Linked DNA regions of Caenorhabditis elegans. The protein of the gene in region 3 purifies or fractionates together with the protein of the main gene of each other region. This does not show direct contact. Each region holds a gene or a part of one and is shown on either strand. Other genes may lie near its edges.

Region 1 (3,753 bases), on a different chromosome or scaffold from region 3:
AATCTGATAAGCCAAAGACTGAATCTGCTGATTCCGAGAAAAATGCCCCAGCCAAGAGAGAAGCTGATAAGCCAAAGACTGAATCTGCTGATTCCGAGAAAAAGGCCCCAGCCAAGAGAGAAGCTGATAAGCCAAAGACTGAATCTGCTGATTCCGAGAAGAAGGCCCCAGCCAAGAGAGAAGCTGATAAGCCAAAGACTGAATCTGCTGATTCTGAGAAGAAGGCCCCAGCCAAGAGAGAATCTGATAAGCCAAAGACTGAATCTGCTGATTCTGAGAAGAAGGCCCCAGTCAAGAGAGAAGCTGATAAGCCAAAGACTGAATCTGCTGATTCTGAGAAGAAGGCCCCAGCCAAGAGAGAATCTGATAAGCCAAAGACTGAATCTGCTGATTCTGAGAAGAAGGCCCCAGTCAAGAGAGAAGCTGATAAGCCAAAGACTGAATCTGCTGATTCCGAGAAGAAGGCCCCAGCCAAGAGAGAATCTGATAAGCCAAAGACTGAATCTGCTGATTCTGAGAAGAAGGCCCCAGTCAAGAGAGAAGCTGATAAGCCAAAGACTGAATCTGCTGATTCCGAGAAGAAGGCCCCAACCAAGAGAGAAGCTGATCCACCAAAGACTGAATCTGCTGATTCCGAGAAGAAGGCCCCAGCCAAGAGAGAAGCTGATAAGCCAAAGACTGAATCTGCTGATTCCGAGAAGAAGGCTTCAGCCAAGAGAGAAGCTGATAAGCCAAAGACTGAATCTGCTGATTCTGAGAAGAAGGCCCCAGTCAAGAGAGAAGCTGATAAGCCAAAGACTGAATCTGCTGATTCTGAGAAGAAGGCCCCAGTCAAGAGAGAAGCTGATCCGCCAAAGACTGAATCTGCTGATTCCGAGAAGAAGGCCCCAACCAAGAGAGAAGCTGATCCACCAAAGACTGAATCTGCTGATTCCGAGAAGAAGGCCCCAGCCAAGAGAGAAGCTGATCCACCAAAGACTGAATCTGCTGATTCCGAGAAGAAGGCCCCAGCCAAGAGAGAAGCTGATCCGCCAAAGACTGAATCTGCTGATTCCGAGAAGAAGGCCCCAGCCAAGAGAGAAGCTGATCCACCAAAGACTGAATCTGCTGATTCTGAGAAGAAGGCCCCAGTCAAGAGAGAAGCTGATAAGCCAAAGACTGAATCTGCTGATTCCGAGAAGAAGGCCCCAGCCAAGAGAGAAGCTGATCCACCAAAGACTGAATCTGCTGATTCCGAGAAAAATGCCCCAGCCAAGAGAGAAGCTGATAAGCCAAAGACTGAATCTGCTGATTCCGAGAAGAAGGCCCCAGCCAAGAGAGAAGCTGATCCACCAAAGACTGAATCTGCTGATTCCGAGAAGAAGGCCCCAGCCAAGAGAGAAGCTGATCCGCCAAAGACTGAATCTGCTGATTCCGAGAAGAAGGCCCCAGCCAAGAGAGAAGCTGATCCACCAAAGACTGAATCTGCTGATTCTGAGAAGAAGGCCCCAGTCAAGAGAGAAGCTGATAAGCCAAAGACTGAATCTGCTGATTCCGAGAAGAAGGCCCCAGCCAAGAGAGAAGCTGATCCACCAAAGACTGAATCTGCTGATTCCGAGAAAAATGCCCCAGCCAAGAGAGAAGCTGATAAGCCAAAGACTGAATCTGCTGATTCCGAGAAGAAGGCTTCAGCCAAGAGAGAAGCTGATCCACCAAAGACTGAATCTGCTGATTCTGAGAAGAAGGCCCCAGTCAAGAGAGAAGCTGATAAGCCAAAGACTGAATCTGCTGACAAGGTTCCACTACCACATTAACTCGATATGGAACTTCGACGAGAAAGTATCTTTTGAATTAATAAAAACATGTATGAAATGTTATTGTGCATATAGTTCTGTAATAAACTCATTTTTCACAACTACGTTGTAGTGTTTTCGAAAAATACAAACAAACTAAATTGAAAATAGCTTTTTAATCTATGTTCTCCATTGCTCAGGTTCATTTTCAGTCAGATTCATCATGCTGTTTACATCAAATTTTCAAGAAAACAGCTGTTCTTAACATTTGATTTCCAATCTTTTGGCATCCGATTTCTCCACTCTCCTCGAAGATTTCATATTCAAAAAATGAAGTTTTCATCAACTATTATATTTCTTATTTTTTTACTTGTGCCCTCTTTGAAATGTGCATTCCGGACTGGACATAGACATGACTGGTATGAAAAGAATCGTCTGAAAGTTTCCTGTTTGCAACAGGATGATCCAGTTGGAAGGAATGCAGTTAGTCGGTGCTGGTTCTGGGTTCGTTCTCCATTTGACAATAGAAATAGTTATGAATCTTTCAAATTTTGTTGCGAGAGAATTGAATTACATCAACAATATCGCTAGTTTTGAGCTTCAAAAGTTCAAAATTGCAATTTCGTGTTAACTGTTGTAAGTGTATCGCTGTTGTAACACAACACCCTACATACAGTAATTTAAAAGTAATCTAACTAAATTAAATTCGACCCATAATTATTAAAACAAACAATTCAAAAAGCTCTATAATTTCCATTTTCCAGGAAGGAATGAAATCATGGTTCCGAAGAACATCGATCTCTTGGTATCCCGAACAAACGAAAACGTGGAATATGACAGAATTGACAGCACATTGTGATAAGTATTATGTAAGGTCATGAGTACTTTTCTGGAACCTTATTCTGATGAAAATTGAAATGTTATTGATGAAGTACCGAAATAAATTAACCGCTCCGCGGTTTTTGCACCGACATTAGAAGATATTGTTTTTTTAACAAAGCAATCGTATAAGTACGGAAATTCAACAATGTTTTTGGCTAATTTAAAATGATTGAACAACTAATTTAAATTGAGTCACGTCTTATTTCAGACCTGTATGGAAAATACAAAATGCTACAAGGACTTTGTCCTATTTGAGACATTGGATAGATGCTCTCATGATGCATTCAATATTGGTCCAATGAGCTTTTGCTATTCTACTTTAAGAGATGTTGCAAAGAATTTCCCAGACAAGTTATCGTCTTGCGTGAAGGAACACTTGGATGCGGTGAGTGCATTTATCTGAGTGGGTCTCACCACGATTTGTGCCTAATTTTAGATACTTGCGTAGTTGATGTGGAAAGTGGAGTTTTTGAAATGTCAATTTCTGAAATGTACAGAGAAAACATGAATTTATTATGGAATATTTATCACTTACTGTCACGTTTCCGCAAACGGACGATATTGTAATTTTTCCATTTTCTGATATTTGCACTTAAAAACACACCGATTTATTCGGTAGGTTCTCGCCGCGAGAAAAAATTTGTTATTTGAAATTTTTCTCGTGGCGAGACCCATCCAAATAAACCTGTGCGCCTTCAATTACTCATCACGGTATTTTGAAAATGTTTAATAGTAATTTGTGTATTTTTGTGAAATTCGCAGAATTGAGATCGTGGTGAGACCCAATGAAGCCCCACATTTTCCCAAATTTAAAAAAGCAATTGTAACGTCCTATTTTCAGACTCCGACAAGGAAATGGACTTGCGAGATAGCCCAGGATTTAGGAAATTGTCTTCTACCGGACGTTAAAAATTACTGTGAACCGAATTTTCTACCGATATTTAAAGAGGTTTCCAATATATTTATTCTACATTTAAAATTAAAATCCGTTCCAGCATCAAGATTCTCGTATGTTCAATTTGGGTTGCGATGGGCGATTGAAGTTCAAAGACATGGAAGATTTGAAGGATCACAATGCGACGGATCTAGTTGGAAGTTC
Region 2 (3,753 bases), on a different chromosome or scaffold from region 3:
ACACTGTTCAAAACGACCTTACCCGAATCGCCTGTCAGAGTATTTTTTTTGGAAAATAGGAGTACGAGTGGTGTTTTTCAATGATAAAATATAAGCTTCTCGGTAATCATTTTCATAGACGCTTACGTTGCAACTTTTCCGAAAACTGACCATTACCCTATTCCACAAGTTTTTCTTTCATTTCTTTCTTTTTACCGTCCTTTCTGTTCATCTCCAGTCCCGACCTTTTATTTCAAATGGATAGATTCAAAAACGCACGTTTACTTTGCACTTTTTGATTGTTCTTTTGCAATACTACAGTAAATCGTGTGAGCAACCTTTTATGGCAACCAACACCGCTTTTGCAAACGAGTGGACGTGAGAGCCAGATAATCACCATATCTCTTTTTGTGTGTGTGTATTGATGCCGACTTTCCTTCAAAAAAGTCAAAAGACATGTTGTCGGAGAGTTACAAAAGAGCAACTCGTCATTCCTGATGAGCACACTTCACGCGCCGAGCCAAGCTTTTCAGTCAGTGTTCAGCCGACTTGCCCCACGACCGATGCATGAGCCACTCTGTTCTTCGGAAAACAAAAGTGTCATGGTTGAACAAGGAGCCGCACACTTATTGTACAAGGCATAATTTGAACAAATAATTTCATGTGGCGGGTGGCGACTGTCTCAGCGGCGAGGAAGACCTCCCGGCTCTTTTGTATCGCAAACACGTTCAAATCAGAAAGAAAAGTTGAAGAGCAACGGGAAAGAAAGAGATATGTATGGAGTTGAAATGAGAGTAATGGGGAAAAATATCAATGTTATTCTCTATTCAAACTTTCATAGACTGTGGTGTTTGATCCTTTAGAGTTCTTCTTTTTGAAATTTCATATTCATTCAGATGAACGTATACAAAAATTATGGAAAAAGTCGTAAAAAAGTTTTTAGAATTATCTAAAACACAGAAAATATATTCAAAATATCACTTGAACATCGTTTTCGTAAAAACCATGTACAATAAACATAAAAAGCACTTCGCATGAAAATTTAATTTTTTGACCCTTTTTACTATTTCAAGTCAAGTCTAGACATTTGCAAGATGTCATACCCAACATTTTCTCGTAAGAAATCATTTCTTCAACCTACTTGACTTGGTAATTCAACCGTTTTTCACACATTTACCATCCTCATCTCTTCTATTCTTGTCCTTTTCTTTCGTTTTCTTTGCGCACGTATCGTAATCTCGTGTTATGCAAAATAGGGGTACTTGTTAATGCAGACGTTGTGGTTTCATACCTCTCTTGATCTTCTCATATTTCTCATATTTTGCAAATTGCCGTCGGCTATATTACTTTGATGTCCCAGACGATATCTCATGATTTTGTTTAGAAAAATCTATTTTTGATCGTAAATTTGTAAAAATAAAATGGTAGCCGATGGTAGATAATGGAAAAATGTTTACGTTGCTTGCTTTTTAACAACGGGGATATTGAAGGTTAGGAGTGAGAAATGTGTCATCAAGGATTCTTTTTGTAACTTTACTCTAGACTGTTGGAAGGGCAGAGGTTTTAAGAAAAAGAATATGACAAATAGAACTTGAAACGTAGGATGTGAAACATCTGATCGTAATAGTCCGAAATTCACAACTCAGCGGGTTCAGTTTCATATAAGATAAAATACAATATTGATTTTAAGGGCATCTTCTTCTTTTTTCCTAACTGTATCAAATTTTTATCAAACCTATTTGCTCAAATATTCTTCCTTTTCATGTTTGAAAGTTTTAAAAGTTTTCCGTTCGACCTCACTTTTTTCCTCCTTTTCTGTCCTTTGAAACTATCTTGCTCGTTCTCGCCTTTTCTCAATTTAAAAAATGCTCATCTGCCACATACCTCTTCTATGTTCTCTGTCTCTTCATCTCAAACATTGTCTCTACTTGACACTTTGCCTGACACCATCTCAATGTGTGTTGGCCGTGTGTATGAAAGAGGCGTGGTTTGAGTCTGTCTGGAGGAAACCATGTTGTCTTTTTCATTTTTCCGTGCCCTCTCTTCATTGTAAAATATTTATGAAGAAACATTATTTTAACTTCAGAATGAGGAAGCCACTGGTGGTATTGCTGTTGATACTGGTGACAACGGTGGAGAGTCGATTCGTGGACAAAATGGTCAATTCAGAAATTGGAGACACCTATTACAAACACGAATCGGATCCAATAGTAAGCTCTTTTCAAAAAATTTGCTTCAATGAGTGAAAACTAGTAATCTGAAGAAGAAATACATTGTCCGAAATTTAGAAGTGAACTAGCGAAGTCTCTGTTTTTTTTTATTTTATTTTATTGTTGCAGCCTTCTTATAGAAGGAATTTTCTAATTTTAAACAAATGTTATATTACTTATTTTCTAGATGATCGACGACAAAGATGACGCACCTCAATACGAAGTAAATTCGGAAGAAGTTCCAACTTTGCCACGTATGAATAGTCAGACCAAATGGGAAATGATTCGTGCCAGTGGACAAGATCCAACAGTCCGTCGTAGAAAAAACAAGCAGCATCGTCAGCAGAAAGTCGTCCTTGGACGTGAACGTCGTGACTTGATCCTTGCTCCATGGAGAATCACTCATGTTGTTCCGAAAAAGAAAGAAGCTGAAGTTCCAAAGAAAGCAATGGCTCTGTCATTTGATGTCTGTCCTGAAAAATTCGATGCAATTACAAAGGGAATCAATGGAAGAACCTATGTTTTTGCTCGCGAAAGGGTTTATCAAATTTGGTTTGAAGACGGACTTCCACAAAAAGCGTCTTACTTGATCAGTGAATTCTTTGCTGGAGGACCGAGAACTGTGACCGCCGCATTGACAAATTCTCGATCTGGAGTCACAATTCTCTTTGATGGACGAACTGCATACAGATTCCGTTGGAACAGAAAACATCGTAGATTCCAGCTGGCGAAAAATACCCCACAAGATCTTCCCCGAAACATCACAATCCATCCATTGTCAGCATTTGAATGGGCCGATGGAAATCAAGTTGTTCTCAGTGTGAGTTGATATCAATCTTAAGAAAACCTTCTTGTCATGGTTGAAATGATTTCAGGGTGAACACTTCATCATCTACGACGCATACTGGAACTTAGCCACATTCACAGGCCACACACGCAAGTATTTCCCAAATCTGCCAAGGGATCTACTGGGAATCGTGTACAACGGAGCTGGAGAAACACTTTTGATGTACACCAAGACAAACAAGTTAAAGGTATTCTTTCCGCAATATTAAAATCTTCGGCAGTCGGCCACTTTTTTCCGCTGGCGATATTCTCAATTAAACAGTACTTATATTTACGAAAATCGGCAGCCCCGTCAATTTCCGATAAGTTTAAATTTTCAGAGAACGCCAATTGCCGAAATTATCGGGAAAATTTATATCTTGAGTTCAGCATACGTATCAGCTTTTAGAGCATTCATAACTCTCTCGATAGCGACTCTATAGTAACAATTTTCAATAGGATTCCAACTTTGCTGTTGAAATATAAATCGATCTTTTATGTTAATTTTTCAGGTTTACAACACGAAGAAGTTCAAAGTAGTACAAGAATATCCGCTGAAACTGTCTGAATTTGTCGGATGTCAAACTAGATGATCTGCTCAATCTGTCTTCATGCCTTTCTATCAAATCTCTCCCATTTCCGATGATCTGATCCTTTCATTCGTTTCCTTCTCAATCTTAAGATCGATCGATTTTGCTTTTTTGCTTTATTTGTTTTTTTTTCTAATTTTGTTTCTTTG
Region 3 (3,753 bases):
CCATGAACATTGAGCATTGCACCGCTTTTATCAGTTATTACCGTACTAATTGTTTCCGCTTTAGATAATTCCGTTCTATCATCCGATAAAATAGCGCTAAATAATTCTTCAACCTTTTTATTGGTATGAACTCGATGCAATGCTTTCAACTCTCAAATACCCAGTAATTTTGGTTGTCATGGTTACATTCGATTGTGAACCTTCAAAAATTATCTGTTTTCAATTTCATCACTCAAGCAGCACACGCAAACATCCATCCAGCGCGGACACCCGCCCCACAAGTCAGTAGACTCCGCCCAAATTTTCCGTCCGCTATGAGAGACGGGAGAGGGACACATTTGCCGCTGCTGCTGCCGCAATGGAAAGGGACGTTTCGGTGGCTGCTGCCACTGTGTGCATCATTGCGGTTGGGTGGTGTGGTGATGGTGCTGGTAATGGTTGACGATTGGACCACTGGCCTTGTCCTCTTTTTCACTGCAAAATGTGTGCAATACCCCTGCTCTCATATTCATTCATTTCGTCGCCCACATCCATTCCATTCGTCTTTTCTGGACATTTCTTGTTCTCTTTTTGACTCCGCCTTTTTCTCGATTTCGTAATCTATGTTTCCTATGTTTCTCATTTCGAAATCATGAATGACTCATGCTCTGAAGTTCGGACTTCTGTTCATTTCACTTCTATTTGCTTCATTTTTAAATTTAGTGTAGGTGAGAACAGCAACGACTGAATCAGAATCGAGAGCAAATAGGGGGCGGGCGGCGGTTCGATATATCAAATGACACGGAGGTAGACCATTCAAAAAGGTAAATGGTGTTAGTGGACCCTCGCCTCTCATCTCATACCGTCTCTTTCTCTCGTCTGAATAGTCTTTTTGACACACTTATTGTCGTTATGAAATGAATGTGAATAGAGGAAAAAAGGAGATTGAATGACCCTTTTTCGCCACCTCACCTGCTGAGTAAGAACCGGTTATTCCAGAATAGTGAAAGGCTCTTTTGGTTTCTTTTCTTAAGCCTTCTAGTACTCTACCTTCCTACATTTATTGCCTTTTTTCGTCCAGACGAATGTTTTCCAGGAAAAGTGAGCGCTTCTTATCTCGTTAGCATTATTCTTCGATTCAATTCAAGTCGCATATGACTAGTTCTTCTTTTTAAATCATAACCTAAACGCGCATTTTCTCTTCATGACCTTTTCCCGCAATTTGAGCATCGATTGACTGTTCTAGCCCCCGCAGCGTTCAGCGTTCCGCGTACCATCTAGTCTCTTCACACAATCAGTCTTACATTATTGTCCCTACTATAACATCGTCTTCTCTTTCTTTTTACATTGTCTCACTTGAGTTCTTCGTCTTTTTTTGTTCTTCTCATCTATATCCACTAAAACCCCATTCTTGGAGACGGTTCTAGAATAGAAAATGAGTCCTCGACAGAGACGGGTGCAATTAGTGTCCAAGCGAGAGAGAAGCTTTTGCTCATTCCGGTTTTGTCTTTTGCCTACCAAAATGTGCTACCCCGGCTTACTAGCGGCTCGCTACTGGAGACTCTATTCGATTACCCCCGTAATTGAGTTGACTTTCATGGTAGTCTTCTGTTTTTCCCCATTCCATTTTCTCATTTTTCTTATTCTCCTCTCCAACTCGTCTATTTCTCTCGTATTTTTTCTCCATTTTTAGCTCTTTGTTTCTCCGAATACCTCGAAAATTAATGAGTTTCTTTCAGTCTCAGTTCTCTCGTCACTAACCAACACATCAACTATGTCTGAGGAAATCAAGAAGATCGAGGAGGTCGCCGAGCAAGACAAGGCTCCAAAGGTTCCAACCACCGAACCACCAGTCGATGTTCCAGCACCAGTTACTGAAGAAGCACCAAAAGTAGAAGAAGCTGTCGCTGAGATTGCTGCCCCAGCTGCTGCAGAAGGAGAAACTGCCACCGCTGCTGCTGCAGCTCCAGAAGAGAAAAAGAAGTCTGGAGGTGTTGCTCGGCGTTTCACTTTCAACAAGAGATGGGGAAAGCACCGTGATGCGGAAGCATCCACTCCAAAAGAGCCAGAAGCACCAAAGGATCCAAAGGAAGACGTTCTCGGATGGATTGCTCAACAGATTCCACAGGCTGTTCACAAGGTAAGAATACTTTCAAAATAACTAAAACGATTCAGGGCAGATGGTATTCTCGCTAGAGCAACCGAAACGCAGGTTTAGTATTCACCCTAGCATAACAGCTGTTTCCGATTAGCCCCCATTCTCACCAGTTACCTTTGAATTCAAATTACCGCAGTTCGATTTTTTAAGAATCATAGGTGAATTCATTGGAATGCCTAAAAATTTCTAGGAATTGGCCAAAACGATGCATAAGTACTTTTAACTAACAAGAACCTATCTGAAATTTGATCCTGAGCTCACAAAAAAGTTTGGAACAAGTGCATTTTCCCCTACTCCTTCACAAGTTCATTAAGTCTATTCATCAACATTTGCAATGTATCGCTCATTGGTATTTGCAAGGTTTTTTGTTTGATCGCGCCGGCGAGATTGGCGATGTGCGTCGGCACTCTGTAAAAGGGCAGCTGTGCCAATCTTTCCTCGTTCCGACGCTCGTATTGCTGCAGACCCCGTAGAATGGTGTTGTAATGTAACTAACTGTGTGTGCGCGCGCACCGGATTCGCTATTGCGTAACTCTTTAGGATAATGAGAGGCAGATATTGTAGATATCCTAGAAATTGACAGACGTTCGTAAAAGTTATAAAATCGATGTTGTCTGGTGACCAGGATATTTACACGAATTAGAAATAAAAAGATGTGTGATTCGACTTTAAATTTTGAATACTCACAAAAATAATCCCCATGGAAACGGAAACAAAAATACATGACGAAAAGTATTTATATTTCATCATAATTTCGAAACATCTGTTTTATACAATGAGATTCACAAAGATTAGCATGTATGAAATCTCTTTTAAAGTCTGAATTTCGCAGGAATTTTGAGAGAAGAAAGTTTAGAAGCTATACAAAAAATTGGGTCAATTTCCCTAGACATTAATCCTGAACAATTGCTGGTTCAGTTCGACAGCCATTTTTTGTTGGTACACAAGATGAATTCGTCCTTTTTGCATCTTCTTTCCCAAAAAAAAAGGAACTCATTGGTTGAACCGCGCTGCTGCTCTGCTCCTCCTTTCTTTGTTTCTTAATTCTGATGCAAACGCACTTCTGTTTTAGTGGTTGCCGTCTTTCTTGTCCAGCACGAATGAGAATGATCTCTTATATGGAGGCTTGCAACATTGAGAGTGCTCTCATGGGATTATAGCAGAAAGAACTGGTATTGGATATTTGCGTCTTTTTTGCACTGAGAAAACAAATTACATTGGAACGTTCTTTTTTCGGATTCTTATTTTGGTCATTAAAGTTTTATTTTTCAGGCCAACTACCAGGTTATCGACTGGGTTCAGAAGACAGCTATCCCAGAGGAAGGAGAGCGAAAGACCATTCCGGGAAAAGATCAGGCCACGACTCGCAACCAATTCATTGGATTCTTCAAAGATGGAGATGTCCTCGCCAAGCTGGCCAACGCTCTTGAGGTATGTTAATTTCACTTTTCTGATAAGAATATATGGGGTAATGATGATGATGATAAAATGTGATAAGTGATATGCAAATAGGTCGGAAGGTGCATTATCAATTAGCGGTATTTCCGTTCCGACATTGATCGGAATTCGGAAATATTTTGAGATCTATTATATGAGTTAATTAAGTGAGGGATCTT

Evidence for each region.
Region 1: the proteins of chdp-1 (region 3) and H39E23.2 fractionate together in Caenorhabditis elegans (co-fractionation; one large-scale study listed by BioGRID). This does not show direct contact.
Region 2: the proteins of chdp-1 (region 3) and K03B8.6 fractionate together in Caenorhabditis elegans (co-fractionation; one large-scale study listed by BioGRID). This does not show direct contact.

Annotation. Positions count from the first base shown.
Region 1 is NC_003283.11:14,108,259-14,112,011, forward strand, and holds the start of H39E23.2 (T20D4.11-like domain-containing protein), read left to right. Parts: upstream 1-2,083; 5' UTR 2,084-2,102; coding exon 2,103-2,276; intron 2,277-2,536; coding exon 2,537-2,641; intron 2,642-2,862; coding exon 2,863-3,039; intron 3,040-3,495; coding exon 3,496-3,603; intron 3,604-3,649; coding exon 3,650-3,753. Other genes in the region: H39E23.3 (Neurofilament heavy polypeptide-like), read left to right, coding at 1-1,793.
Region 2 is NC_003283.11:11,405,519-11,409,271, forward strand, and holds the start of K03B8.6 (uncharacterized protein), read left to right. Parts: upstream 1-2,065; 5' UTR 2,066-2,066; coding exon 2,067-2,189; intron 2,190-2,376; coding exon 2,377-3,009; intron 3,010-3,064; coding exon 3,065-3,223; intron 3,224-3,526; coding exon 3,527-3,607; 3' UTR 3,608-3,753.
Region 3 is NC_003279.8:6,283,255-6,287,007, forward strand, and holds the start of chdp-1 (Calponin homology domain-containing protein), read left to right. Parts: upstream 1-1,718; 5' UTR 1,719-1,753; coding exon 1,754-2,119; intron 2,120-2,433; exon of another isoform or gene 2,434-2,645; intron 2,646-3,093; exon of another isoform or gene 3,094-3,318; intron 3,319-3,409; coding exon 3,410-3,568; intron 3,569-3,753.